4 linked regions of the Arabidopsis thaliana genome follow. The protein of the gene in region 4 interacts with the protein of the main gene of each other region in a pairwise test. Each region holds a gene or a part of one and is shown on either strand. Other genes may lie near its edges.

Region 1 (7,984 bases), on a different chromosome or scaffold from region 4:
AAAATAAACATGCGTTATTTACGAGTTTCGTGCTAACGTCCTTTCAAAATCTGTTTCAACCTTAATTACAAGAAAAAAAAAACAGTTTTAAACAACAACAACAACAACTTCAAATATATATATACATCCTCCCAAAATATTAATGATTCGTTTGCTTTACTTAAAGCTTCTTTGCTATATCCTCAAAGTTTAGCAATCCATGAAATAAACAAACGTGTTCACAACGTAATTCAGATATAAGCCGTCACTATTTTTCCCCGTTCACATCAGCCTCACTTGTAGTTTTGTCTCAATCGAAATCATTGTTTTTATATTTACTACAAAAAAGAATCTAATAATTGAGATCGAATATAGAAGAAAAATGAAATACTCGTTGTTACATTTGAAATTCGTAACGTATAGTGTCTCTGTCTGTATGGATGCGTGACATGTAACGTTGTTACAATATATCTTGGTTATCTATATTTTATTTCTTACTAGATAAAGCCCGCCTAAATAAGCGGGTATAAGATGTAAATGTAATTTTTATCGATAATATTTAAATTTTGAATAGTAAAATAATAATCGATACATTGTTCTTGATATATAATTTTGAATAGTAAAATAGTAGTCTTATGCATTTTATTTTGTTATACCCATTCAATCTTATTGATGATATTTGAAGTCTAAATAGTAACCTACACACTTTTTCTTTATTGTAATTTAGTATTTAGAAGAAAAAATAAAATTTTATCTTATACATTCAATTTTGTAATACAATTTAACTATCTATTTCATAAAAAACTCGATTTTAATTTTACACACTTCATCTTACTTGATAATGATTTCATGTCAAAATAATATATATATATAAGATCAAATCTATATCTTAGTTAATATTAAAAATTATTAACAATTAACAAAACATAATTCATAATAATAAAACATTTGTTAATACCATATATATTAAAAATTTGACCAATAACATATATATATATTTTTTTTGTTAATTTTCCTTTTGGTTAAGAAAAATAAAATGTAATATTTTTTAGATATAGAAATATGAATTAGTATATGTTAATAATGATTTCTTTTTTTAGTTTTCTATTTCTTTAAGAAAAAAAAAGTTAATTATTTTCTTACACATGGCAACATCTGATCGATAGACTTGACACGTGGCATAATCTTATGAGTTAGTAACTTTGAAAACCATACTTTATATAATAAGATTTTTTTTTGTTAATTTTTCTTTTGGTTAAGAAAAATAAAATGTAATATTTTTTAGATATAGAAATATGAATTAGTATATGTTAATAATGATTTATTTTTTAGTTTTCTATTTCTTTAAGAAGAAAAAAGTTAATTAATTTATTTTTTAGTATTTCTATTTCTTTAAGAAGAAAATGGTTAATTATTTTCTTACACATGGCAACATCTGATCGATAGACTTGACACGTGGCATAATCTTATGAGTTAATAACTTTGAAAACCATATTTTATATAATAAGATGTTGATTTATTCTTACTTTTTTTGCTATATCTTTCCTTATATTTCATACTTAATATTTTTTTTTTGTTTCTAAGATACATACATTAACTCTCATATTTATTGTCTTAACTAAATTTTACTTTTATTTGTACACGTGGCTTCCCCCCACAATATTTTTGACCCAAATCCAAAAAAAAAAAAACACTATCAATAATATTTCCTCTTACCATTTATGTCTTACACACAAGTGTCAAAATATAGTAGAAGACATAGAAAATGTTTAGATTATGATTAAATATCACAAAACTTTTGTGACATAAATCATGATCCATATGCATCCAAGTTCTAATAATAGGTCGATTCGATCTTGTAAAAAAAAAAAGTAATTAATAGTAAAAGATTTTGTATTGAATTTTGAGATATTTTTCTCTCACTATAAAAAGATGAATTGTGTAGCTAGAGATCATAACAAACTCTGAGGAGATTCAAGCTAAGGTACATTTACAAAAACTTATTTTAAATTACAATGGGTTGTTGCATTTTCGAAACTGATCCTACAGACCAATAAGTACTATTCAGTTAATTTGAAAACACTTACAAAAAAAACTAAGATATAATTTAGCAACTTTAACATTTTTTATTATGTTTGTAGGGACATTAATGGGAAACTGGTGTAGTTGTGTAACAAAAGATGAAAATAGTGATAATTCTAGTAGCTCTCAAACTTCTACGGATAAAGAAAGTAGTGTGCAAGTTTCTTCTGTGAGCACTACGTCTTCTTCAGAGATTTCATCTGAATGTTCTTCTTCAAAATGATCATCTCAAAGCTCCCAATGATGGAAGCGTAACTAGTGAGCAAATGTCGCATGGATCATCTTCTTCATCTTATCAATAAAAAAATCTTCAAAATAAATAATTTTCTATGTCAATTTTTATATTAAAAGAAACTTTGTTAAAAATTATGACTATTAATTAATAACTATATTATTACATAATCTTTTAAATATAAGTTTTAGTTTTAATTTTTAATAGTTGCTTTATGTCATGCTGATGTGTTGCTACAACAAAATTCTTAGCAAAATTTATGCATTTTTTTCTTAAAAAAAGAGAGTTCTATAAGTATAATCCAAGATATATTCTTGTACTTAATACGAATAATTAAAGTTATGATTAATCCATAAAGTTCTATTTCGATGACACGGTGTCGTATTTGAAGCGACGTGGCAAATCCTTATTGGTCTATATGACGCAGAACGGGAATTGCTCTGAAGAATCCTTTCTCAGGCGAACGGAGTTTGGAGTCAAAATCCAGAGCGCGGGGAAACGAAACGAGCCAACAAATCCGCCATGGCAGCTCGTAAGAGAGCTTCATCGATCTCAATTCCCAACAAACCGGACCCGTCGGAACCCAACTCAGCGCCATCGGAGCAGAAGATGACCCGAAAGACGGTTTCTGCTTCCGGTGAGGAATTTCGTCTCGCGCCGCCGAAATTAGGAGTGATCTTCGTGATCTCTACTCTTCTCTGTTCGCTCTATCTATACCTTCTCTGTTTTCACTACAAGGTTGATAATGAGCTCAAGCGATCGATTCTAATTAACGCGGGGCTTAGCTTGGTTGGGTTTTTCGTCACTCTCAAAATGATTCCTGTTACTGCCAGATACGTTCTGAGACGTAACATGTTTGGTTTTGATATCAACAAAAGAGGCACGCCTCAAGGAGATATTAAAGTGTGAGTTTTTATCAATCTCTGATTTTCCAAAGATTAAGATTAGTTTGATTAAAATTTCTTCATCCTCTTTGTTTTCAGGCCAGAGTCATTGGGTATTGTTGTTGGTATTGTCTTTTTGATCGTGGCGATAATATTTCAGTATTTTAACTTCACTGAAGATTCTAATGTAAGTGTGCATTAACGTCTTGTTTTATTAATCTCTGTGGTTATTCTCATTATCAATGTTTGTGAGTCTGGCTGATGATTCTGTGCAGTGGCTTGTGGAGTATAATGCAGCACTAGCATCTATTTGCTTCATGATTTTGCTTGGATTTGTAGATGATGTCCTTGATGTGCCTTGGAGAGTGTAAGTCCTAATTCCTACATATTTTTTTGATGAAATTCACGCTTATCGTTTTTGATTCACATGTTTACTGTTGTCAATTTAAACAACAGAAAGCTTGTCCTGCCATCTTTTGCTACCCTTCCACTTTTGATGGCTTATGCTGGTCATACAACTATTGTTATACCAAAACCTCTTGTTGCTTATATTGGCTTGGAAGTGCTTAATCTAGGTAATGGTTCTTGTACATGATACCACCTATTTGTACACATTGACTTGTATTTTTCTTTTGAGGAGGTAAATGATTATGATTAGCTCAATAGATGTTTTAACGTGGCAGGAAGGATATATAAGTTATATATGGGGCTACTTGCTGTCTTTTGTACAAACTCTATTAACATCCACGCTGGTCTGAATGGCCTTGAAATCGGTCAAACAGTTGTTATTGCCGCTGCTGTAAGTCTTATGGTCATACATAATGTCTCTGAATTTTTCTCATTTTGTTTCTTTTGGGTTGAGATATGATGCATCCCAGTTACCTGTAGATCCTGATACACAACGTTATGCAAATCGGAGCATCTGTTGATCCCGAGTATCACCAAGCTCATGCCTTCTCGATATTTCTTACTCAACCGCTGATGGCCACATCCTTGGCAATGCTTGCTTACAATTGGTAAAATCCCTAGCAGGCTTTCTCTTTAAAACTTTTTTTTTTTGAGTGGAAGTAATGATATTTCTGACCAGTTCTCGCAATCTTCTGCTGTTAGGTATCCTTCTTCAGTTTTTGTTGGAGACACTTACACAGTCTTCGCCGGAATGACTATGGCAGTTGTTGGTATTCTGGGTCACTTCAGGTATACTTCCAAACCCACTTATCTTCTCTGAGGCACAGGCACTTCACTAATACATGGAAACTACCAACTCTTAGATTGATCATTTGCATCATATATCCAGCTACTGTATGACCATGCAACTGATTCCCATGCCATCTTTCTGTATTGAAATTTTGCTTCTGCAGTGAAACCCTCCTCATCTTCTTTCTTCCTCAAGTTCTGAACTTTCTATTATCGCTTCCTCAGGTTCATATCACCTTTTCACTCTTCTATGGCATACGTATAATCTTGTCAACTCATGTTTCAAAAATTTAACATACTATATATGATAACTCTTCAGCTTGCTGGGATTGTGAAATGTCCGCGCCATCGTCTCCCAAGGTAACCCCCTTTGTTTTCTTACCCTTTGTAGACTGATTAAAGAACAGACGCATCACTCATCTTGTCTTTTGAAAATATCCAGGTATGATCCTGCTACCGGATTACTGACCGGCACAAAAGATGGGACACTCGTCAATGTTTACTTGAGGTTGTTTGGTCCTAAATCAGAAAAGTCTCTTTGCATCCATCTTCTCGTTTTCCAGGTAGGTCTCAGATATATGTATATCGCCATTCGTATATAATGAAGTAGTCGCTTTAGTGTTGTCATACTCTGCTTGTTTTTGCTACAGGCTCTAGCCTGCGCCTTCTGCTTCATACTTCGACACTTTCTTGCTGGTTGGTATAAATAGTCTGCAATCAGAGAAGTCACAAATACAGAACATTACTTTAGTACCTTGTACAATCGTATATATCAACAATTTTTGTTAACGTGTTGAAGTATTCTCAAGTAAACAAAGTTCATTCATTTGCTTTTTGTTGAACGAAATGGCAAAATTTTCAAGACAATGTATCAGCATCCTGAGTTTCTATAATTCCCGACAAGAGATCAAATACAATTTAATGAGTTTCTCTAACAAGCTAATCTCGAAATCCCTAGATCCCAAGTTTTTTTTCTTGCACAAACATGAAAAATGAAACTAGAGATCTATGTCCATTGTTTCTTTCTCTTCGTCTTCATCATCATTTCCACTGCTTGTCCATAGCTTGATGGTGCGATCATGTGATACAGTAGCGATACACGAGCTATCTGCTGTGATATCTAGAGAGGCGACTTTTGACTCATGCCCTGCTAAGCTTTTAACGAGCGAGAAATCTCTTCCTGACCATATCTGGTAGACAAAATATAAGAAATTGGAATCAAACTATAAGCCAATGAAACAGAAGACTGAAAAAAAAAAAAATACTAAGGCAAGGGATTATAGAAGTAGTTACATTGACTTTCATGTCGTATGAGGCAGTGGCCAGAAAGTAGCCTTCTTGTGGCTCATACTTCACTTGAGACACAAGGTTAGCATGAGCTGGTATAATGTACAATGACTTTCTCATTCTTAGATCCCAAATACGGCATTGATTATCCTCCCCACCAGATGCCAAGTGATAACCATTAGGAGAGAAATTCACGGAGAAAACCTGAAGAAACATATAAAACAGAGGATATTAAAACAAGGGTTAGTAAATAATCACTTTTGCTTGGATACGAGGAGGACCAATGGAACAAAATTAGAATCTTACCGGTTTGATGTGTCCTTGGAAGACAAGAATACTCCTACCAGTGCGGAGATCCCAAACTCGTGCGAGTGAATCAAGCCCACAAGAAGCTGCTAATGCTCCATCTTGTTGAAATGCAATTCCGTAGACACTGCGGCTATGGCCTTCTTGCAAAAGCAGTTCTGCTCCTGTGTTTATATCCCACAATCTCCACGTCTTGTCATAGCTTGTAGTTCCCAGGTATTTCCCTGATGGGTGGAAAGCAACACGTGCCAGACGATCCAAATGACCTTCAAACGTTTGTAGGAGTGTTCCATCAGTTTTCCACAGCTTTGCAGTTCGATCAGCAGAAGCAGTCGCTAGACAATCATCCACTGGGGAGAACACTACATCAGTTGCACGTTCTTTGTGATCCTTCAAGACAGCAATCGTGTTTGTAACTTGAGGCATCTCCCACAATTTAGTAACTCCACTCAGAGAACTAGACAAAAAAAAAATCGATGAATTACTAAACAGAAGGGAACTATGTGAATCACACAAGTCATGAACCTAGAGAATGCGTAATGCAGTTAGAAAGGGCAAATGCAATAGACATGGAGTATGCTATCTATAAGATAAACTATAGGCCTAACTAACTTCATGGTTTTATAAAGGTGCAGTGTTTAAAAGTGAGGAAAATCAGCAAGTTCAGTGTTTAAGAACAGGATTATTAAGATACTTCTCTACTGATATATCAATGAAAATGAATATGCAGGTAGAATGCAATCTAGTCCAGGTAACTCTAATCAAATAGAGACGAGGAAAAATAGTTTCAAGCCTAAGAAACAATATGTGGAGAATATGTGAATTTGTGTTGAGAGTGAGAAGGAGATAGAAGAGAGACATACCATGTGGCAAGTATCTTTCCATCGCGTGAGAAGGAGCAGCCGGTAAGAGGACGATCATCTCCAAAATTACTGCAATCAAGGGCCATGTGTTTAGCATGCTTTAAAGCCCACTTAGTCTCTGCATCCATATCTTCATCTGGATCATCCCTCCGCCGCTTTGCACGCTGAATCCTGACAGCAGCTCTCTTGACAGAAAACTTGGCAATTTCTATTCTAGCCTCTCTAAGTTCCTTTGGACCCTCGGTAAAAAAGGGGTATTCAAGAACTTCATCATCTACTTCCTCTTTTGGAGTCACATCTTCTTCGTGATCTTTAACCAGTTTATCCAATTGCCCATTGATATCATACCTAGTCAACAGCTGAGTCAGCCTAGCTCGTCTCTCCATTTCCTGTTCTCCAAATAGAGTAATGGGCTCCCCAAGTCGTCTAAGTCGGTCCCTAACAGCTTTGTCATTTGTTGGAACTGCCATAGCAGCAGCACGACGCTTTACCAACAAATCTTGCAATGCCTTTTCCTGTCTTTCTCTGACCTGCTTACTCTCTTCAGATATCTCAATATGTTCATCATCTGATTCCGAATCCGAGTCACTGGTTTTCACTCCACCATTTTGTGAAACAGGTGGCCTAAAAGTAGGTGGGCGGGCAACTGGAGGATGTGGCATCATAGGTATTGGAGCCATTGGTGGGGGAAAAGAAGGAGGAACCACAGGTGGAATGGCAGAGAAACCTGAAGTTACAGTAAAAGTGAAACATAAATTACTAGAGTTAAAGGATCACGAAACCAAAGAAAACCCAATGCACTTCTTTAATAATTGGAAGAACGAAACAGTATCTGGACTCTACAGACCAAATCCTTAAGCTCTAATCTAGATGCATTGCGAGAAAAATACAAAAACAAACTCAACCAGGAAAAAGTGAAACAGATTTAAGGAATTCAACTGCACTATAATCTTTGATGTAACAATTTACTTGAATGCTAATTAATTACCTGGCAGAGACGAGGCATCTTGTAGAACTGGAGGTGCTGAAATTTGAGCTGTTGCTGCTAATGAAACATTATCATCCTTGTTGGGTTCCATGTTTCCCTTAAATCCTCAAAAGAAAACACCACCGAAACAGCAATCTAGAGAAAACCCTGGAACAAAGAAGAATTC
Region 2 (6,963 bases), on a different chromosome or scaffold from region 4:
TGACCAAAACAGTATAACACATTTATAAGTTGTCCAGAAATCAATCGATATATTTGCCAAAGAAAAAGAGACGAAAAAAAGTTGACCTCCTAATAGTTAGTTACTTCTAAAATCAGCTAAAACTATATTTACTATATAAATCATCCACATCAACCAACATTCTCACCAAATCATCTCGTTTCACCAAAAACATTACAATTTAAGATTTGCAGACTCACAATACTTACGACATGGCAGTTCAAGTGTCAAAGAAAATTTGTCGTGTATTGATGATTGTAATTTTATTTGCAATGATGTTTTCAGCTCATTCCAACTCGATAGATGTGTGTGTCAAAAATTGTGGCGTGAACCAGTGCATGAAAGCATCAAAGAAAGCGACTCCAGCTATATGTGACAACCCTTGCAAGATTATATGTGATCCTCTCAACAACGAGCGATACATCGTCCCTCGAGGTAATGGTGGTCCTATAAAAAGGTTCTGCAGAGCATTTAGCTGGATTTGTAGCGCGTAATTGATCGACATTACAAAAATTGTCTCCTTTCTTTATGCATATATTATATATTTATGTTTTTTTGTATCATTGTATTGATCCATATTTCAAGTACTTATGTATCCTTCTTCCATAATTTTATTATACCTAATACTCCCTCATTTTCAAATTATATTTGTTTAAAGTTTTTCAGACAAATTAAAATAATTACAATTAATTTCTGTTTTTCTTTTTATTAATATGCTATGATTTTTTATTCGTGAAGACATTAAAAAAAACTAAATTTTTAACCAAACATCTACATTGAAAAACATAACCAAAACTTATTATGAAACAAATTTTAAGTTATAAACGCCAATAAAGTTGAAACAATATAGTTTAAAAATAAAATAACTAAAATATATGATGTTAATGTGATTTAGTTAGGCATTAAGTTTCCATAATTTGTATAGCTAATTTTTTTTGAACATAATGTTAAATTATATTCAAAAATATATATATATATATATATATATATATATATCATGTTTACAACAAGTGCAACTGTTTTAGAAAGAAAGCTGAGAATATAGAGTTGTAAAAAAGAATTATGTAGGCATTTGAATTTAATAATTTTATGGAAAAAACTGAAGATGTTAAACAAATATGGATTTTATTTTTAAAATAAATACTTTCAATCAAATTATATTAGTCTTGAATTTATAGATTTTATGAAAAAAAAGTTTATTGTGTTTTCATGGAGGAAAATGACGATAAAGACAATATGAAAGAAAATTATGTTTACAAATGTACATATTTACCTGGGAGGAGTCATATTAAATGATCTAATCCGCCTTAGTGTATTGTATGTATCTAGAACCTCTTACTTATTCATAAACAAAAGTACATATTTTCCTTACGTTTTCTTATAAACAAATGTACATAATTTCCTACTTATATATATATATATATGTATTCAACTCAAAAATTATAGACAAAACAAAAGGATTACGTATTCTTTTTGTTCCTGATGAATCTTTCACCATATTTAAGAAAAACTATAGGTTTGAAAGAAAGAATGTACCCCGATGATCGCCAAAATATTTAAATCACATGAAAAATAACAATGTGATTTAGTTAGGCATTGAGTTTTTAGGATACTTTTGGTGGAATTGTTATTTTTCATTTTTAAAAAAGGAAAGATTTTTAGTGTCCAATGATAAATTCAATGATCTTAAAAAATTATGTACAGTGAAAGGTAATCATTCCTTGTTAACGGTATGTATTCTTTACCATGTCATGTGCATATTACGATTTTCGTAACAAAAACGTGGTCACGAATTTTAAGAAGAAAATGCCACTAAGATATGTGTTGTACAGGCTAATATTTTAAATATGAGCAATTAGTGTTACTATATTTATGCATAGCATGCAAATAGTTGTTTAGATGACCAAAACAGTATAATACATATAAGTTGTCCAGAAATCAATCGATATATTTGCCAAGAAAAAGAAACGAAAACAAGTTGACCTCCTAATAGTTAGTTACTTCTAAAATCAGCTAAAACTATTTTTACTATATAATCAACACAACATTCTCACCAAATCATCTTGTTTCAAAACCACAACAAAAAGAAAAAAGAAAGAAAAAAAACATTACAATTTAAGATTTTCAGACTCACAATACTTACGACATGGCAACTCAAGTGTCAAAGAAAATCTGCAGTGTATTGATGATTGTAATTTTATTTGCAATGATGTTTTCAGCTCATTCCAACTCGATAGATGTGTGTGTCAAAAATTGTGTCGTGAACCAGTGCATGAAAGCATCAAAGAAAGCGACTCCAGCCATATGTGCCAACCCTTGCAAGATTATATGTGATCCTCTCAACAACGAGCGATACATCGTCCCTCGAGGTAATGGTGGTCCTATAAAAAGGTTCTGCAGAGCATTTAGCTGGATTTGTACCGCTTAATTGATCCACATTACAAAAAATTTGTCTCCTTTCTCTATGCATAAGTTATATATTTATGATTTTTTGTATCAATGTATCGATCAATATTTCAAGTATTTATGTATCCTTCTTCCATAATTTTTTATCTTTAACAATATTTACTTGTATACGGAAAATTTGTTAAAAATCTAATTATTTATATTTATATATGTAACAACTGAAAATTGGTAACTTGTATAAGCATAATTTATGCTGCATAAACATATTTGCATTTAACTACACGGAAACTTACTAAAGAGAAAAAGAGAATTCTCGCATATAAAACAGAACCGTTACTCTGTTTCTCTTGGCGCTTTAATTAGGGTTTCTTATTTAGCTTTTGCATTGCCACATTCCTAAAGGTTTCATCTTTTGGATCCTTCTCTGACTCACTTCTTAAAACCCATCAATGGAGGAAGGAAGTCTGTGGCGTCAATGGACTATGTTCAGATCTCTGTTATCGATTCTTCAATGGTGGGGTTTTAACGTTACTGTTATCATCATGAACAAATGGATCTTTCAGGTTTAAAAAGTCTCTTACTTTTATCATTAAAGACTTAGCCTTTCGTTTGTTTTATCTGATCTGCGTTTGAAATTTGGTACCTTTCCTTGTTTGCAGAAACTGGATTTCAAGTTTCCATTATCAGTTTCATGTGTTCATTTCATATGTTCGTCGATTGGAGCATACATTGTGATTAAAGTCTTAAAGCTTAAACCTTTGATTGTGGTTGATCCAGAAGATAGGTGGAGGAGGATTTTTCCAATGTCATTTGTGTTCTGTATCAACATTGTGTTGGGGAATATTAGTCTTAGATACATTCCTGTCTCTTTTATGCAGACTATCAAATCTTTAACTCCTGCAACAACAGGTTTAGGGTTTTTTTAAGATTGAGAATTTTTCAAAATAAAGTGATTTTTTTTTATTGTTCTGATTGGTTTTTGTGTAATGGTTTTTTGAGTGCAGTTGTGTTACAGTGGTTGGTATGGAGGAAATATTTTGATTGGCGTATTTGGGCGTCATTGGTGCCTATTGTTGGAGGGATTCTTCTTACTTCTATTACAGAACTTAGCTTTAATGTGTTTGGATTCTGTGCTGCTTTGTTTGGATGTTTAGCTACCTCTACAAAGACCATTCTTGCAGAATCTCTTCTTCATGGATACAAATTTGACAGGTCAATGTTCTGTTTCCTGAGGTTTTGATCTTCAGTTTCACATGATAGGTGTTGAATGTGTGAAACTTACATTTGGTTTCAATGACATGCCATGCTCTCATAGTCCAATACTTGATTTGCTTTTTCATATTTCATGGAACTGAGTGTTTGTGTCCTCCTCATTTTCATGTCTCTCTATGTAGCATAAACACGGTATACTATATGGCGCCTTTCGCGACCATGATTCTCGGGTTACCTGCATTTTTACTAGAAAGGAATGGAATTTTGGATTGGTTTGAAGCACATCCATCTCCATGGTCGGCTCTCATAATTCTTTTCAACTCAGGTGTTCTAGCTTTCTGTCTTAACTTCTCCATCTTCTATGTCATTCAATCCACAACAGCAGTCACATTCAATGTAGCTGGAAACCTTAAGGTAAATGAACAAATCCCAAACCACATAACATTAATCTTTATATTCTAGTTTCAATAACTCAGATGTTTGATGGATGGTATGTGATTTGCAGGTTGCAGTAGCTGTGTTTGTTTCATGGATGATATTTCGAAACCCGATATCACCGATGAATGCTGTTGGCTGCGGAATCACACTTGTGGGCTGCACCTTTTACGGATATGTAAGACACATGCTTTCTCAGCAACAACCCGGAACTCCTAGGACTCCTCGTACCCCAAGGAACAAGATGGAACTGATCCCTCTTGTTAATGATAAACTCGAGAGTAAAATTTGAATATCATCGGTAAGTCACTAGACTATTGAACGCACACAAAGAAGTTAGATTTGATCTTGAACATCCACAAGAGAGTTATAGTTTAACTATATGTTTATTTTTACTCAAACTAGAGAAGTTAGAGAAGTGCCATTTTATTTGTTTCCATTGTATTAAATTATCTATCCTCATCAAACCAACTCAGAGATGACCACAAAGATACTTAAAGCAGGCCCATTTTTGTATTCAATTATGGTAGTGCTTTCACTTACCTCAGCTTTTTAATTTTTCCTTCCAATTTTGTTTGTGCCATAGTGCCATGTTCTAACATCAGAGACTTAATACATGACAAAATGGTGCAAGTTTGGGAATCTTTGAAAGAAGATGAAAATAGAAAGTTAATTTGACAATATATAAGAAATGATTATTCATTTTCCCGCCTTGATACATGAAAGAGCTTAAGACGGTGTTTAAGGGAAACGAATATTTTAGCTCTCAAAACAGCTCATCAAATTCGTTGCTTTAGCTTCTCAAAAGTAAAAAATGGGCTTTTTCAAGTGGGCCTCAACTTATGTTGCTGAATTTACCGCCATATCCTTCCCTTACAAAAAATCAATTTTCAAAAAATCTTCATGCTACAGTAGTCTGAAACCAGGTCAAAGGAGTTAAAGAGAAAAGGGCAAAACAGTCAAACAGCATAAAAAGATGTCTGTGTCTTGGAGATCGCAAAGCTACCGTTTTCTGTTCACTCTGTACAACACACTTGTCTCCTTCTTCCTCTCTTCTCTTCTCTCTCTCCATTTCAAAAAGGGTGAAACTTTTCTTCTCTTTCTAGAAGAAGAAAACCAGAGATACAGAGAGATTCTCTCTCTACCAAACCCCTGGAAAAATCTCCAGATTCATCTTCCATAGACCAAACTAAACTCTGTTCACTGTACTCTCTGTCATTGTCCTGTAAGAGAAATTGAAAACCCTAGGAGATTTTGAATTTCGTAAAACCCTAAACACAAAAATGAAAATCCCAGAAAAACCCATCTTCTTAATCTTCGTCTCTTTGATCCTAGCTTCGAGCTTAACCTTCACAGCGACAGCGAAATCAACAATCGAGCCTTGCTCAAGCAACGACACTTGCAACGCTTTACTCGGCTACACACTCTACACCGACCTCAAAGTCTCAGAAGTCGCATCTCTCTTCCAAGTAGACCCAATCTCTATCCTTTTAGCTAACGCCATCGATATCTCTTACCCAGACGTCGAAAACCATATCCTTCCTTCGAAGCTCTTCCTCAAAATCCCAATCACTTGCTCCTGCGTCGACGGAATCAGAAAATCTGTCTCTACCCATTACAAAACCCGACCTTCTGACAATCTAGGATCGATTGCTGACTCTGTTTACGGAGGCTTGGTCTCTGCTGAGCAGATCCAGGAAGCTAACTCGGTGAATGACCCGTCGCTGCTTGATGTTGGGACTAGTCTTGTTATCCCCTTGCCTTGTGCTTGTTTCAATGGCACCGACAATTCTTTGCCGGCTGTTTATTTGTCGTATGTTGTGAAGGAGATTGATACATTGGTCGGAATCGCGAGGAGGTATTCGACTACTATTACTGATTTGATGAATGTGAATGCTATGGGAGCTCCTGATGTTAGTTCTGGAGATATTCTCGCTGTTCCTTTGTCAGGTCAGGTCTACACAATCTTTAAAAGTTGTATCTTCAGATGTTTGTATAATGGGAAGTAGTTTCTATTGTTAGTTGTTGGTTGCCAAATTGGGATTTTTGGTGTAGCTTTGTGGACTTTTGATTGTTTCTTTCATTGCTGGTTGATTGTTTTCTGGGTTTTGAATCTCATTAAGGTATTGTTTTTGGCATTGAATGAGTTTGAGCTACCAAAAGTTTCCCTCTTTGTGGTATTTTTTTGGCTGAGTTTACTTTTGGTAAGGGAGCAATTACAGATTATTAATGTTTGGTTCTGTATCTTTACCTTCTCTCAGCTTGTGCTTCAAAGTTCCCCAGATACGCTTCGGATTTCGGATTGATTGTTCCAAATGGTAGCTATGCTCTAGCTGCAGGTCACTGTGTGCAATGCAGCTGTGCGCTTGGGAGCCGCAAGTAATTATATCTAAGCTTTATTATTTGATATGACTAATCAAATTCATCTCTGATTGCATTTTGACTCACTTGTGTTGTGTGTGGGTGATGTGATGCAGTTTGTATTGTGAGCCTGCTTCCCTAGCCGTCTCTTGCTCAAGTATGCAGTGTAGAAACAGCAACCTCATGCTCGGTAACATCACGGTGCAGCAGACTAGCGCTGGCTGTAATGTTACAACTTGTGATTACAACGGTATAGCCAACGGCACTATCTTAACCATGTAAGTAGAAATACATTCACTTTGTCTTCTCCTCTTATCAACATACCCCTACTAATGATTCGAAACTATTTCCTTCTCTTTCGTTTTATAGGCTGACCAGGTCTCTTCAACCTCGATGTCCCGGTAAGTTCTTTTTAAACCATGTTATCTTTGTAAGGGAAATCATGTGCTAGAATTCGGTCTCATGTAAGTGCAATGGTAAAAATGCAGGACCTCAACAATTTGCGCCGCTTCTAGCTCCACCAGATACTGT
Region 3 (8,485 bases), 6.2 Mb from region 4:
TTAAGATCAAGAATCTAGGAAATTTTATTTTTCAGCCAACATGTTGAAATGTATTACCTTGTGATACTATGCAGAATATGAAGAAATGGAAGCCATCGGAAAGGAAATGGTCACATATTGTGGAGGACTACCATTAGCTGTTAAAGTTTTGGGAGGCTTGTTAGCTAATAAACATACAGCTAGTGAGTGGAAAAGAGTTAGTGAGAATATCGGAGCTCAAATCGTAGGAAAATCGTGCTTAGATGACAACAGTCTCAATTCGGTTTACCGAATATTGTCTTTGAGTTATGAAGATTTGCCAACGGATTTAAAGCATTGTTTCCTTTACCTAGCCCATTTCCCTGAAGATTACAAGATAAAGACACGGACATTGTACAGTTACTGGGCCGCAGAGGGAATTTACGATGGATTAACCATCCTTGATAGTGGAGAAGACTACCTAGAAGAACTAGTGAGGAGAAATTTGGTTATTGCTGAAAAGAGCAATTTGAGTTGGAGACTTAAACTTTGTCAAATGCATGACATGATGAGGGAAGTATGTATATCTAAAGCCAAAGTAGAGAACTTCCTCCAAATTATCAAAGTCCCTACTTCCACCTCTACCATCATTGCTCAATCTCCTAGTAGATCTCGAAGACTCACCGTACATAGTGGTAAAGCCTTTCATATACTAGGACACAAAAAAAAGGTCAGATCTCTTTTAGTTTTGGGACTCAAGGAAGATCTTTGGATACAATCAGCTTCACGCTTCCAAAGCTTACCATTGCTCAGGGTGTTGGATCTGTCTTCGGTAAAATTTGAAGGAGGGAAGTTACCTTCTAGCATTGGAGGGCTCATCCATTTGAGATTCTTGAGCTTACACCAAGCTGTGGTATCTCATCTACCTTCTACTATTCGGAATTTAAAGCTTATGCTCTATTTGAACTTACATGTTGCTATCGGGGTGCCGGTTCACGTGCCAAATGTTTTGAAAGAGATGCTAGAGTTGAGGTACCTTTCCCTACCTCTGGATATGCATGATAAAACCAAGTTGGAATTGGGTGATCTAGTGAACCTGGAGTACTTGTGGTGTTTCTCAACGCAACACAGTAGTGTGACAGACCTCCTCCGTATGACCAAGCTCAGGTTTTTCGGTGTATCTTTTAGTGAAAGGTGTACTTTTGAAAATCTATCTTCATCTCTCCGTCAATTTCGAAAGCTGGAGACACTTAGTTTCATTTATTCGCGCAAAACCTATATGGTTGATTATGTGGGAGAATTCGTTCTGGATTTTATTCATCTAAAGAAGTTAAGTTTGGGAGTACATTTGTCAAAGATTCCTGATCAACATCAATTACCTCCCCACATTGCACACATATATTTATTGTTTTGCCACATGGAGGAGGATCCAATGCCAATTCTAGAAAAGTTGCTTCATCTGAAGTCGGTTGAATTAAGACGCAAGGCTTTCATAGGGAGGAGAATGGTGTGCTCAAAAGGCGGGTTTCCTCAATTACGTGCTCTACAAATATCTGAACAATCGGAGTTGGAAGAGTGGATAGTAGAAGAAGGGTCGATGCCATGTCTTCGTGATTTAATTATACATAGTTGCGAAAAGTTGGAGGAACTTCCTGACGGACTCAAGTATGTAACATCCTTAAAGGAACTGAAGATTGAAGGAATGAAGAGGGAGTGGAAGGAGAAATTGGTTGGAGAAGATTACTACAAAGTCCAACACATTCCCGATGTTCAATTTTTCAACTGTGACGACGAACAAAGAGAATAACCAGTAGCAGGTAAAAAATAAACGGTATAATAATGTTCACTTTTCAAAGTCATGTGGACAGTCTCAACTTTTATACATTGTTCTAAAATCGATCATCTTTTAAATAGATGCAGGAAAGAACAAGAAGCTAGTCAAATTCTCTTATATTGGGAGAGATAGAGGCTGCTTCACAAGAGTCATCTACTGATAAATCTCTGGAATACAGATTCTGAAGTACTACTGATTACGTTGGAGCTCTCGCTTTCAGTGCATCGTTATGTTGTGGCTCAGAACTATATGCTTTTTATTGATGTTTGTTTTCGGTGTGGATGCATGGAACGTGCTTGAGAACTCTTTCATAAAATTGAGAAACGAACCTTGTTTTTTTTGTAGTTCATTGTAAAAATTGGATATTTATGTTTATACGAATTTGTTTTGTTTTCTCGTTTGTGATTTAACACAGTTAGCTAGCTTTTGTAAGCTTTATTTACATCAAATCTGGTTAGATTTGTTTTTTATCACATTTAGGCTTAAGTTTTGTTAGTTTTGCACCTCTTTTACTGTGTACGCATAGTGAAGTCATGGTTGAACCAAGACGAGCAAAACTGATGTACAATAAACAAAACAATCTCATTTTGTACAAGTTTTTTGTTTCATTTTAATTTCTTTTATCAGTACTGTGTGATATTTGCACTCGTGACTTAGACTTGGGTCGTTGAGGGATTAGTCGATTTCTTGTTCAGGAACAACATAAGATTGTCAGAACAAAACACCAGTTTTTGTACTTTTGTTTTTAAATCTTGTTTCAACTTCAGACAGACCCCCTTATTCTATGGCTTTAGTATATTTGTTTACTTTTGAACAATGTTCAAAAAAGTGTTAGGCGATAAACGGGCGATGACCCAACGCCTAGCGTTTAGAACGCTTAGTCGGGGTTTAAGTGATTTTAGGTGGTTTATCCGTTTATGACATAAAACATTTTAAATATGATATTATAGATAAAAATCATATAAAACTATATATTAGAAAATATTAATCGGATCCTAATCAAAAATTAGATAAAAATGTTTCTTTAATTTATATCAACAATATATGAATGTTTATAACCATGTGTAGAAGTAAAACTTATAAAATTTAAGCAATATTAGTTAAAAATAAAAAAAATATACTAAAACGAAATTTATGTTATTTTAGGCAGTCGAGATGATTATTTAGGCGTCAACTGAACGCTTAGCGGCATATAAACGACCGTCTAGACCGCTTTTTACAACACTGCTTTTGAATCTTTCAAACTTCATCCAAAAACAAAACTAAAGCTTCTGGAACATGTGAAACCTTGTCAAGAAACTCTAGTTTTGAACTCATAAAACCTAGTTAAGAAGTTTTTTTTTTTTGTCGGCACCTAGTAAAGAAGTTATACCACAGCATTCTTTTTTTACTTTTTTTCTTTAATACAAGATGCAATTAAACAAAATGTTCCTCTAACTATAATAATGTAGAAAAATACGTGTACGCTAGGAAATTTCTCGACCCGCGCAAAAGAGGGTCCTAGAAGTTTCAACTTTCGACACGTGGCTCCTTCTCAGTCTCTCTTATTAAAGTCTTTAAATTATATAATCACCAAAGGCAATTAATGGAATTAATTTACTTTGAGGACTAATATTCCATCTGATTTCCCAAGATAAAACATAAAGTCCTTATTACTTAATTATGAATGTAATTATTGGATTACATGTAATTAATCACCACTTTATAAAACTGAACAAAAATAGTAACGAATATAAAGAGTTTAATAATGATTTTTGGGTCATTTTCCTTCACCAAATTTTTAATTCCGCATAAAGTAAAATATCCTGAAAACAGAAAAATTCAGTGTTTTCGGATTCTCCTTTAAAAACGACAAAAGCATCTACAGAGAAATCTGACCGCAATAATGGCGAATAACGAAGATTCAAACTCCAATGGACTAGACTCGTTTGATGCTGTTAAACAACGTTTCAAAGATCGATCAAAGGTACAACATCAGATTCGATTTTCACCATTTTTGATGTTTCTCTTTTGTTCCAATTTTGTTGATTTTGACTTTGTGGACCAATTGTTTTTGATTTTGACAGAAAGTTGTTCAGACGAGAGAGTTGTTGTCTAAACAAGCGGTACAAACGCGTGAGATCTTATCGAAACAAGCCGTTAAGATCGCTAAACAAGCCGAAGAACATGAGAGATTCATCAATAAGGTTAGGTTTCTCTCTTGATTCTTCAATCATGTTTTGATTTTAAGTTACTTTGGTTTGAAAATGTTTGGTTCTGTAATGTTTTAAAGGTGACACATCTCGTTGGTGTGCTTGGATTTGGAGGTTTTTGTTTCCTACTTGGTGCAAGTGAGTTCAAAGAAATTGTGTTTTTTTTTTGTTTTTTTTGTGTTTTGTTCTTAATTCAATGTTGTTGATGTTGATGATGTTTTCGTTTTCAGGACCTCAAGACATTCCTTTAGTTTACTGTTTCTTCTATGTGATCTTTGTTCCTCTTCGATGGATATATTACCGGTTTAAGAAATGGCATTATTATCTTCTGGTAATGTCTCTTTTGAGGATTTGGAATTAAGAAACAGTCGTTTTGATTGTTATTGAAACAATTTTTGTGTATGTGATAGGACTTTTGCTACTATGCCAATACAATCTTCTTGGTTGATCTTCTTCTGTATCCTAAGAATGAAAAGCTTTTCATGGTTTGCTTTTCCTTTGCTGAGGTATGCTTTTTAACTACATGTATGTATATGAGTCTTTTGTGTCATTGTGTGTGCTGATTTATTTTATTGGTTGTGTCTTGTGCTGCAGGGACCATTGGCGTGGGCGATTATTGTCTGGCGTTGCAGTCTGGTTTTTAGTTCGCCGGATAAGATTGTTAGTGTTCTTATACATCTCTTACCTGGTGAGTTCTATAATCTTCTTGTTGACAGAAGAAGATATGTTATTGATTCATATTGCTAAAGTTGACGGCTTTGATTAAAGTAGTTGTATGAATTCTTAGCTTGTTGTTCCCCTCTCAACCGTTTTTAATTCAAACACATGGTTCCTTGTTGTAATGCATATGATAGATATAGTTAAGCTTTATGCTCTCTCTCTCCATTGTTTCTTTATTATTGTAATGAATTTTGGTTTCAGGGCTCGTGTTTTTCACGATTAGGTGGTGGAATCCAGCGACTTTTGCAGCTATGCACCCTGTAGGCACTGATCGTAGGGTTTCATGGCCTTATGTTGAAGACAAAGCTTACCTATTCACATGGCTGTTTCTCGTCCCCTTAGTCGTTTATACTCTTTGGCAAGTGCTCTATTTTCTAATCGTCAATGTCCTGCGTAGGCAGAGACTCCTTAGAGATCCTGAAGTTATGACTTCTTACAGGTATCTCTTGTCTACGCCGTATGTTAATGTTCTCCTCATATTGATCGCTAAGGTCACAGCATAATGTAATGTGTTCTTACCATAGAGTGAACACTTGTATTGATGGAATCCTTTGGTATGTGCAGAGAGCTGTCGAAGAAAGCTGAAAAGGCAAACAATAAGTTGTGGCAGCTGAGCGGTCTGCTAGGGGATCAGAATCGTATATGGATGTACATCCTATTCCAGGCCATCTTCACGGTGGCAACCATGGCATTGACCGTACCGATCTTCCTATCTTATAGACTTCATGTGATCTTTCAGATCCTAAAGATTTCTGCGGCTGTGTGGAACGGAGGGAGCTTTTTACTAGAGGTAATGCCACGGCAAGTGATCCAGAAAGAGAAGAAGAAGAAAGCTGAGATGCAGCCGATAGAGGAGCAGATACTACATCATGAAGCTGTGTCACATCCGACTGAGAATGAGCCAAAATCTACTGAAACATGATCATGGTTCTAACAAAAAGGTACATGTAAAATAAAGTTTTCAAAGGTGAATCATGATTGGTGTTTTTTTTGTTCCTCATGTTTTGTTCTATAACTGTTTGTTTCTCTTGTTGCTATACATCATTCTAAAAGCTTAATGTATGTGAATGATCTTGTAGTTTATTTTTTCTAAAGAAACTTGTTATTTACTCTTTAGCCAAAGTTTTGATCCTGTTTCGCTAGGACATTCTGGCCTTAAAATTGCATTATGAGAGATTTAACTATATTTTTAACGCGTTTTCGAGAAAGGAAAATCTTCGGATTTCAGCGAAGTAGATTGGGATAAGTTCTCCTTGAGACGCGGATTTTGTTTTCTGTTTCTGCTGTACAAAACAACCATCACTAAAGATCATAACATTCATGTGTTTGATAGTGCATAGTTCTCGAACATGTCGTTACCAGCCGCGGAATAAGCTTAATAAGTATGCCGATAGCATTATGAAATCCATCATGTCCGATACGACTATTGTTCAGTGGAGATGAAGCTTAATAACTTGAGTTCCGCCAAAGAATTCACTCAAAAATCGACCATGAAGAGGATTTTGATCGATGCAAATCGCCCCTGTAACGAGCTGATTTGGAAGAAGACTCAAGAACCACCAATTTGCACCGTACGGTCAAATTGAGTCAAACCAAACCGAAGAGCCCCCTGATGTACTTGAAGACTTTCTGCTGATTATATTCACCCTCATGAAAAGACTACACGACGTTTAGAAGCTGCGACTTTAACTTAGCTCTCGACGCCATCACCGAAGATCCTCCATTATAGCCTAACGGCTAGAATCATCACGCTCCTCTCTTTATTTCGCATTATTCGGTTTCCTTTTCTAAGTTTTAGACCATTGTTGTACTTTTCAATTTAAGCTCTTTGATTCTCTACTTTGTATTCACGCTTTGATCAATTGAAATTCAGTTTGTTTCTTGCTTCAATACTTTGTATCTTGAATCAAATCTGTTCTTGCGAGTTCTAGGTTGTTTGTAGAATCAAATACTTCTCATCTAAAAGCTTCCATCGCTCGCTTCTAAGCATTGGACCCGTGAGCCTTGTCTTGGTGGAATCCAGGACGTGTAGTCGTGTATCACATGAAATGAATGGAATAAGATTTTGATTATATAATCTACAAAGTAGGTCGCATTAAGATACATGCCAAATACCGCACTGAACAGAGAAAGAAAACAGAAAATCAATGTAAATATTGTTGGTGTGTCCTTGACTACAATGTTTTTTGAAAAATTATCTTGATCATGTGTTTTGTCAGGTCCGAGTTGTCCATGATATCAATATTCATGATGGTAATCGATCAACCTTTGAGAGTATAGTAACAACACTTGGCATATTTCTCACTTACGCTAGTCTCATTTTTTGTTCATTCAATGAAAAAACTTAATTTTATGAATAAAATTTCTCGAAATGCGCTTAAGACCTTGACAGTACGACAATCTATATTTACTAAACTGAGAAAAAATTGCCAACGCTGTTAAGGAGGTTGAGGTTGGACATGGGTGGTGGCCGGAACCAGCAAAACTGATCCACTAGCACGGCGAATACAAGACCTTTTTTTTGTGACACTATCAATGGGTTCGAGTTGACTATTCGGTTTCCGTCTCTGAGCCGATTCTAGCGACTTGCTTGATCCGCAATAAATCTCCCAAAATGCTAATTAACATTTTTAGATTCTAATATTTTGTTATAAGCTTTTGAGACTGTACACATGAGATTTTAAACGACCAAAGCTATCTCGCTAATTAACATTATTATAGATTCTAGTTATTTTTTATATTAAGATTTTTGTATAAAGGAAAAAAGTAACATATGAAATAAGAAAATATATGGATTTTGGAAAATATTTCTGAATCTTATTATATAAAATATGGTTTTCAAAATTAATAACTCATAGGATTGTGCCACGTGTCAAATTTATTGATCAGATATTGACATGTGTCAGAAGAGATTTAACTTTTGTTTTTCTTAGAAAAATAGAAAAACAAAAAATGAAACAAATCTAAATATACTAATTTATATGTCCATATATAAAATAAAATAATAATTTTTTTTCCTAAATGAAAAAGAAAAATTAACAAATTTAGTTATCAATGTGTTATTGGTCATTTCAATTTAGCATGTAATTTTAAAAAAAAAAATCATTTACGATGGATAATAATACTAATTAAAAAGGCCCTTAAAGTTTAAAATAACAATATAATTTATTTAACATTAATTTAAGAGCCCCTTAATTTAATTGGCTATAAAAAAACAAAAAAGCGAAACAAGTCTACATATACTAACTTATATGTCTATATCTAAAAGAACAAAAATTATTAACAAAAAGGAAAATTAACAAAATTCTTTTTACATTTGTTTTGGTCAATTAAATTAGCATGTAATTTATTTTTAAAAATTATTTAGTATAGATAATTATACTAATCAAAAAGCCCAGAAGTTTAAAATAACAATATAATTTATTTAACATTAATTTAATTGGATAATATTGTATTTATCTTTGTACTATAGTGTTTTTATTCGTTAAATCAAACCATAAAAACAAAAATGAAAAACTTAATGAGGTTATAATAATAATGTTATGAATACTTATGTTTTATTCTAAGAATTTTAACACATCATGTGATGGAGAAACTTGCATCCTTTCATGTGGTACAGCAAGCTTATACTTATATTTTATTCTAAAAAATTTAACGCATGTAGTCGTAAGTGAAAACATAACATTTTTGAAATAAATAGCTTATAATATTTGAGTTTTCAATTACTTAATGAGAGTTAGTTTATTTTTTACTCATTTCAAATTATTTTGTATGAGGTAAA
Region 4 (7,646 bases):
GGCAAATAAAATTTGAAAACATTTGTGAACAGTTACATCATATATTGACATTATTTATCTCTATGTTGGTGTTGGGCTTCGTCCATATTAGATGCATAAGTCAGAAAGCCATTAACACAAGAATCACGAGTTTGGCCCAATGATTGGAAGCTTTACTTTCGGCTCAAGAAACATTAGTTCAAGTCCAAGGTGCTGCCAAAAAAAAGACATTAGTTCAAGATAAAGGAAAGGTTAAAGGATATTTTTATTTTGTTTAGTTTCTAACCATTGTTTCCGTCTACATTTCTAATTTTAGTTAATGTCCGTTAACAACTTAACATACGAATGTTCTCTTTCAAATAATGATGTCCTCTCATATCATATATCTTTAGGAAGATGTGGTTTTTTTTTGTTTGTTTTAGATACAAGCAATGGTTGATTAATTATGAAAGCATCGCTCTTATTGTTGATGATTAGACTACTAAGCATCATGAGTTCATGACTCTAAACAATCAGTCAATCACACATAAACATAATTAAAATTTCACGTGGACATTCTTGCAAACATGATTATATTAAATCTACTCTTTTAATCGGAATGTGAATATTAATGTGCAAAGATATTAATTTGTAAGTTTTTATCCTCTTTAGAATTAATAGTTTAAATAAAAAATATTTGGCTTGACAAATATCGTGATTGTTACAATTTGGCATATCCAAAGAAATCCGACAGTGTTTATCTATATCAGAAATAAGAAAACATAACTTATTGGGATGTATCTATATATACATTTTTGCAACCATTTTAACAAATAAATCGTGGATTTGGACTTATTTACAACTCAATGCCATTAGCATTAAATCTTTCTCCAAAATAATTAATTTTACTTTAAATTGTTAATCACATTATCAATCAAATTTAATCCAAACAAACTTCAAATCAATCTCTTAAAATTAGCATAAACATATTTGTTAACAATATTTTAAAACAAATTTTTTTGTTAAAACAAATATTATTCTTACTAAACGTTTTTTGTTTAAATAAATAAATCATGTATTTGAACTTATTTACAATGTAATGACACTGACATTAATTATTTAGGAATGAAAATATTAAATCTTCTAAATCCTTGCTTTTAGAATTATTATGTCATTACTTAAAAGGCTCAAAATATAAAAAAATTAAATATTATTATTTATATATCTAGACTTTATAAAACATTATTAATATTTAAACTTATAAAAAGTTTAATATATCATAATTTTTTAATATTATTATATAATATATAGAGTTTTAAAAAATCTTAATTCTTTCCGTCATATTTTGTGACTCGAAATTTTAAAAATAAACATATATTAATCAATTGGCAAAAAATGTGTGAGTTATACGTCCCACATGAACTAAAATATTTAGACAATGATTCATAAATATATCATAAATAAGATTAACATTAATAAAATAATGATTTTTTTACAGGATGGGTTTGGCGGGACGCGATTTAGCAGGACGTTACTTAATAACAAATATAAAGTATAAAATAAAAATATTTTATAGCAAAATTTTATATATACTAATTTTAAAATATAAATTGTCTCCACGGTGTACCACGGGTTAAAATCTAGTTATTTAGTAATTATGCATCTCGTATAAACCAGCTACAAAAATATCAGTGGAAGGATCTTTATCAGCAAGCATATTAGAAAACATTAAAAAATGAATAGTAAACTATGAGTGGGGAAGCAAAAGAAGAGCGACGGCTTGCTATTGGAGACAAAGTTCATACCACACGAACTAGACGATGCATAGTATAGATATAGGTTAGGCATATGTCCATGCATATGTTACGTGTAGATTGAAAGGGCATCGAGATCAACGGTGGAGATGGAAGCAAGTAAAAATAGCCACGTGTGGAAAAAGCAAAAGAAGAGAAGAAGAAGATATAAGCGACGAAAGGAGAGAGGATATGTTTCCTTTGTGATGGGAACATCACAACTCTGTCTCTATTGGTACTTCTAGTTCACTACTTGTCTATGTTTTTTCTTTCAGTACTTAGTTTCCCCCACGATTTACACAACTTTCTTCTGCTCGTATTTACAGATTTTGAAGATTATTTATACATCTTTATATAGAACTACACATGAAATCGTATGAAAGCATGCATGAATCATGATTCATGTGTGTGAAAATTGACGGTATGAAGATGTGTATAAATTTTATACATCTGCGAAAATCATATCTTGTGGCCAAATATCGACCAATTGGAACGGCTTGCAAATTCTATGAAAACGATCGATATGAAAATCTGATTTACATATATAATAGTATTTTCAATTAAAAATCATTTTCCTCAATTTCTATATATGTGTATTTAGCATATATATATATATATATATATCAAATAAACCAAATAACTTCAATAATAATTTAAATATATGAAAATTAAAAAAATTCACTACTCATATGATATAATTCATCACTATAGAACTTATAAAATAAGATCCTGGTAAAAAAAGCATCAATCTTGTATTTCAGTAGTTTATAATGTTAAAATATATGTAATCAAACTTCTCATATTTTTATTAAAACCACACATGGGCTATCTAGCTAATTCACACACACATATATATATATATTGTTTTCGATTGTCATGATGATCATTTATCCACGTAAGCAGAGACAAGATGTAAAATGTCACTAGTTTATAGGGAGTGGAGTGGGAATAAGTAGGAAAAGGGAAAAAATTAAAGGAAAGGTATACATAATTTTCAAGTCGATTTTGGGTTGATAATTACAGTGAGAGGGAGACAACACATTGCGCTATACCTAATTCTAACTAGTTTCATTTCTAGACTGATGGACCAATCATATCACTTTCTACTAATATCGTTAGTTTGAGCTTCATAAATATCTTTTATCACATTTTATTTTAGAAAGGTTGTTGTTAGTTCTATGCATCTTTTTAAACCACACGAAGTTTCAAAAATATTCATAATAATATTTACGCCTTTATAACTAACATATTCAATTTCTTACATTTTATCATGGACAAAAAAAGAGAGTAGTTCCTCAGGAGAAATACAAATTCGATATCTAAAATCAAGTGTTAGTAATCTATTGGTTAATATTTTTTCAACACAAAGATTATTTCATGGTAAATGCATTTTTTAAGATAACAATTGTATGTTCGAACACTAGTTTAGATTCTCTATATGATTTTCCGATACTCAAAGAAACTATACACTCACTTTCTTAACAAATTTATTAGGCCAAATATATACTGTTTCACCGGAGATGCATTCATATTTACTATGGATTAGATAACAATTGTATGTTCCGAACACTATTTTAGTTTAATTTAGATTGCCTATATGCATGATTTTTTTATAACCAAAGAAAATATACACTCACTTTCTTAACAAAGATTAAATAAAGAGATAATCATAAATGGAACTTTGTACTAACAGAATCTTGAGAAGAAATTTGATTTGAGTTTTGTTCTTTTTTTTTTGTTGTTTTAAATTTCCACATGCCTATACTTTCGTTTGTTTATGTGACGCTTTTGTACGACAAAATCAGGTTTGGATTCGTACTTCTTTTAGGTCAATACATTCTTTTGTTTAATTCTGACCAAAAATAAAGAAATATGTTGTTTAATAAAAATGTAGGATATTGAGAGTCGTACTATAATAAAAAAATAAAAAAATCTCGAACTTTGATAGTATAAGAGATATACGATTAAATCTTGAACTTAATATCCTATATTTTTCTCAAACTATACTTAGTTTGTATTTATACTTGTATATATTAGAGTCCACACAAAGAAAAATGGATAACAAATAATGACATCAATATTTTGGGAACCCCCACCATGCCAAACCCAACTCCATGTTACAAAACAAAACAAATAAAATTTCTTTATAAAATGGCATCTTCTCTTCATATTTTTTAAATCTCTCATCTCAATAAACAAACACTAACAATGGTGGTCGAAGAAGATTCACGTCTCATAAATCTCCAACACAAGTACAACCCGACAATGCCCGAGGTACTAAATTAAATCTAAAACTTCTATTCTTAGTAAACTTCTTCCTCAGATAGAGTCTTTCAAATATCTCCTCTCTTATAATTATTATTTTTTTATTTAAAATATTTAAAAAGGTGGTGGAGGAGCTGAAGAGAATTTGGGACATAAGTTTTCCGGTGGCCGCCATGAGCATATTAAACTACCTAAAGAACATGACATCCGTCGTGTGTATGGGACGACTCGGTAGCCTTGAGCTCGCAGGAGGAGCCTTAGCCATCGGTTTCACCAACATCACCGGTTACTCCGTCCTCTCTGGTTTAGCCACCGGTATGGAACCATTATGTGGTCAAGCCATCGGTTCTAAAAACCCTTCACTCGCTTCCTTAACCCTCAAGCGAACCATCTTCCTCCTTCTCTTAGCTTCTCTTCCCATATCACTCCTTTGGCTAAACCTCGCGCCTCTAATGCTGATGCTCCGCCAACAACATGATATCACTCGTGTCGCATCTCTCTATTGTTCCTTCTCTTTGCCTGATCTTCTCGCTAATAGTTTCCTTCATCCTTTACGTATTTACTTACGTTGTAAAGGCACCACTTGGCCTTTGATGTGGTGCACGTTAGTCTCCGTCCTTCTTCATCTTCCCATTACTGCTTTCTTCACGTTTTACATCTCTCTCGGAGTTCCCGGAGTCGCCGTCTCTTCTTTTCTTACCAACTTCATCTCTTTGTCGCTTCTCCTTTGCTACATCTACTTGGAAAACAACAACAACGACAAAACCACTTCCAAGTCTCTTTGTCTTGATACGCCGTTGATGCTGTATGGTTCGAGAGACTCCGGTGAAAATGATGTGTGGTCAACGCTGGTTAAATTCGCTGTTCCGAGCTGTATAGCGGTTTGCTTGGAGTGGTGGTGGTACGAGTTCATGACGGTCCTCGCTGGATATCTCCCCGAGCCGAAGGTGGCGCTAGCAGCAGCCGCCATCGTGATACAAACAACCTCATTGATGTATACAATCCCAACGGCCCTCTCGGCCGCGGTATCCACGAGGGTAAGCAACGAGTTAGGAGCAGGACGGCCAGAGAAAGCAAAAACAGCGGCGACTGTGGCTGTCGGAGCCGCCGTGGCAGTGTCAGTGTTTGGACTTGTGGGGACCACCGTGGGGAGAGAAGCTTGGGGAAAAGTTTTCACCGCCGACAAAGTTGTCCTCGAGCTGACGGCGGCGGTTATTCCGGTGATTGGAGCTTGTGAGCTTGCCAACTGTCCTCAGACCATTAGCTGTGGAATCTTACGTGGCAGTGCGAGGCCAGGTATAGGGGCCAAGATTAATTTCTACGCCTTCTATGTAGTTGGAGCACCAGTGGCGGTTGTTTTAGCGTTTGTGTGGGGTTTAGGCTTCATGGGCCTATGCTATGGCTTGCTTGGGGCACAGCTAGCTTGTGCAATCTCCATTTTGACCGTTGTTTATAACACAGATTGGAACAAAGAGTCCTTGAAGGCTCATGACTTGGTGGGCAAGAACGTCATTTCACCTAATGTCGATCAAATTATTGTCAAATGCGAAGAAGGCCTACACTAACAGTTTTTCCTTCTCTTTTCTTTTTGTTCTTCATATATACTATCTCCATTTATGTCTCAATGATTTGCTTTTGTTTTAAAACTTATACATTTATGTAAGTGTCTTCATTGGACAAGGACAGAATGTAAAACTTTATGAAACACAAAACTGTTGAAGATTTTGCATTATTGAAGGGAGTGGAATCGTGGATTGGATGATGAAGACTTATATGGATGCGATGGCTAATGACCATGACGTGTAATATATATTGGGTGCATGAGTGTATATAGAGATACCGAACCACATGGAAAAACAAGAGCTAATTGGCCGGAACACATGTGCAAGCATGTGCATGTGTACCCATACAAAATAGGCATCATATTAGTGTCCTTGTGGCTTCTCGCTTCTTTTCTCCCACCTTAATTATCTTTCACAACAACTAAAGCTTTAAGCTCATACTTTCAGAAACCTTTAAATGGAAATATATGATTCTCATTTTCATTCAATTGAATCCAAACTAATGTTTACATGTTGGCAGTGGAATAAGCAGTTAGTATGTTTAATGAGGTTTAAAATGAAAGAAACATCATATACACAGTTTCAAATTACTACTGATAAAATATTATAAAATTTGTATCATTCAGATCAGAAAAAATGTGGCATAGAATTAATTATTAACAAAAAACAAAAAAAATGGTGATCGGTGATGAAAGTAAGTTGCCTAATTTCATGCTTGAAGCCATTGTATTTGATAATAACTACGTACGATTGCAAGAGAATTTTGCATGACTATCTTAAAGATATATTATTATTAGCCCTGAATATATTGCGTAGATATATTATAAAAAAATTGAATGCAAAATTATCTATGTTCCGGTAAGATTAGTCAATGAGAAATGGTAAGTCTTAATAACAAAATTTTGTTTTTTTTCGCCAACAATTTTTTTAGTTTTTTTGGGTAAAAGTAGAATAAAGAATCAACAATTAGAATTAGCCACGAATATATTTGGGTGTAGTGAAAGTAAGCCCGATCGAAGAAGATAGGTGGGGAGGGGATAAGGAGTGAGACACATTATGTTTTGTTTCCTTTGTTGTTAACAAATACTAAGACCTTTGAGGTTTGACGTTTTTTACCTCAAAAAACTTCATTACCTTCCGTTCGTACGTACCATGATGTGCCCTGCTTAATTAACACGTGTTCCTTCACCTTTTCACTGTTTTCTGTTGTTTATATTAACACTTTGGCTCGAGCAATTTTATCTACAATAGTCACTATTAAAAGAAGTTTTGATAAATCTTGAATTGAAAATTAGTCTTAAACCTTACCGATCTCTGTCAACATCACACGTACGGGGTTTGCAAGAACAAATCAAAGGCTTAAGCGTAAACTTGACACCACAATTATTAGTTGTTATTGTTGAACAAAATAAAACCAATAATGAAGCACTAATAACACAACATAACGTGCGAGTATTTTAGTGGATATAGTTTGAAATGAAGTTAAACTTTTAACATAAGTACTTTTTTTCATTTTCGAACGCTCCGACATCTTGTAGAAGTTCCTGATAGCTCCCGAATGCTTATGCATCTGTCAATATTTGTACACCACATTCCGTAATCTCGTGGTGTATGCTGCTGAATCCAAACCGTATCACATCCACTTCTTCAAGTAAGACTGAGTTAAATATAAACAGATGCGGTGTGACAAAGTCCTTGACAACTCCACCAAATCTATGTGCTGCGATGAGACGACCACTTTCACCTATGAGACGACAATATACAGTACAAATATTGTTCCTTTCGCTTGGGAAAAGTAGGATGCAAGCCTTAAATCTTAAAGATGAAGAACAAACATTTTCATCTTCTAGATGGATGGTCAAGGAACCTCCTCTGGCACGGTGACTGAACTCCAGAGGAACCTCTTTGCCAGGTAAGCATGCTCTCTTGTAAACCCATTGCTGCGTGATTACTCGTCGTGCTTCTCCATCGAAATTCATGGATTTGCTGAACTCGACTTTCGCATTTGGACAGTCGAAAGATGAAGATATTCTCTCAAGTGATTCACAATTTATTGCTGATAGAATCT

Evidence for each region.
Region 1: the proteins of AT5G49130 (region 4) and GPT interact in a protein complementation assay, tested with the Arabidopsis thaliana proteins (one large-scale study listed by BioGRID).
Region 2: the proteins of AT5G49130 (region 4) and GONST5 interact in a protein complementation assay, tested with the Arabidopsis thaliana proteins (one large-scale study listed by BioGRID).
Region 3: the proteins of AT5G49130 (region 4) and AT5G35460 interact in a protein complementation assay, tested with the Arabidopsis thaliana proteins (one large-scale study listed by BioGRID).

Annotation. Positions count from the first base shown.
Region 1 is NC_003071.7:17,298,947-17,306,930, forward strand, and holds GPT (UDP-glcnac-adolichol phosphate glcnac-1-p-transferase), read left to right. Parts: upstream 1-2,625; 5' UTR 2,626-2,815; coding exon 2,816-3,198; intron 3,199-3,276; coding exon 3,277-3,364; intron 3,365-3,452; coding exon 3,453-3,544; intron 3,545-3,633; coding exon 3,634-3,752; intron 3,753-3,860; coding exon 3,861-3,976; intron 3,977-4,065; coding exon 4,066-4,193; intron 4,194-4,287; coding exon 4,288-4,374; intron 4,375-4,538; coding exon 4,539-4,599; intron 4,600-4,693; coding exon 4,694-4,734; intron 4,735-4,816; coding exon 4,817-4,937; intron 4,938-5,024; coding exon 5,025-5,084; 3' UTR 5,085-5,265; downstream 5,266-7,984. Other genes in the region: LIS (WD-40 repeat family protein / small nuclear ribonucleoprotein Prp4p-like protein), read right to left, coding at 5,373-5,564, 5,668-5,865, 5,968-6,424, 6,831-7,557, 7,819-7,909.
Region 2 is NC_003070.9:7,675,335-7,682,297, forward strand, and holds GONST5 (golgi nucleotide sugar transporter 5), read left to right. Parts: upstream 1-2,873; coding exon 2,874-2,987; intron 2,988-3,083; coding exon 3,084-3,333; intron 3,334-3,428; coding exon 3,429-3,636; intron 3,637-3,818; coding exon 3,819-4,050; intron 4,051-4,141; coding exon 4,142-4,363; 3' UTR 4,364-4,509; downstream 4,510-6,963. Other genes in the region: AT1G21864 (Plant thionin family protein), read left to right, coding at 231-512; AT1G21866 (Plant thionin family protein), read left to right, coding at 2,165-2,446; LYM1 (lysm domain GPI-anchored protein 1 precursor), read left to right, coding at 5,355-6,021, 6,333-6,450, 6,549-6,710, 6,802-6,833, 6,921-6,963. UniProt on the Arabidopsis thaliana protein: GDP-mannose transporter that may be involved in the import of GDP-mannose from the cytoplasm into the Golgi lumen.
Region 3 is NC_003076.8:13,668,921-13,677,405, forward strand, and holds AT5G35460 (uncharacterized protein), read left to right. Parts: upstream 1-3,568; 5' UTR 3,569-3,677; coding exon 3,678-3,758; intron 3,759-3,858; coding exon 3,859-3,978; intron 3,979-4,064; coding exon 4,065-4,122; intron 4,123-4,214; coding exon 4,215-4,315; intron 4,316-4,394; coding exon 4,395-4,490; intron 4,491-4,578; coding exon 4,579-4,672; intron 4,673-4,905; coding exon 4,906-5,143; intron 5,144-5,268; coding exon 5,269-5,626; 3' UTR 5,627-6,583; downstream 6,584-8,485. Other genes in the region: AT5G35450 (Disease resistance protein (CC-NBS-LRR class) family), read left to right, coding at 75-1,765. UniProt on the Arabidopsis thaliana protein: Glycerophosphocholine acyltransferase (GPCAT) that utilizes acyl-CoA to acylate glycero-3-phosphocholine (GPC), forming lysophosphatidylcholine (LPC).
Region 4 is NC_003076.8:19,911,945-19,919,590, forward strand, and holds AT5G49130 (MATE efflux family protein), read left to right. Parts: upstream 1-3,927; 5' UTR 3,928-3,959; coding exon 3,960-4,025; exon of another isoform or gene 4,026-4,138; coding exon 4,139-5,581; 3' UTR 5,582-6,023; downstream 6,024-7,646. Other genes in the region: AT5G49140 (Disease resistance protein (TIR-NBS-LRR class) family), read right to left, coding at 7,141-7,646.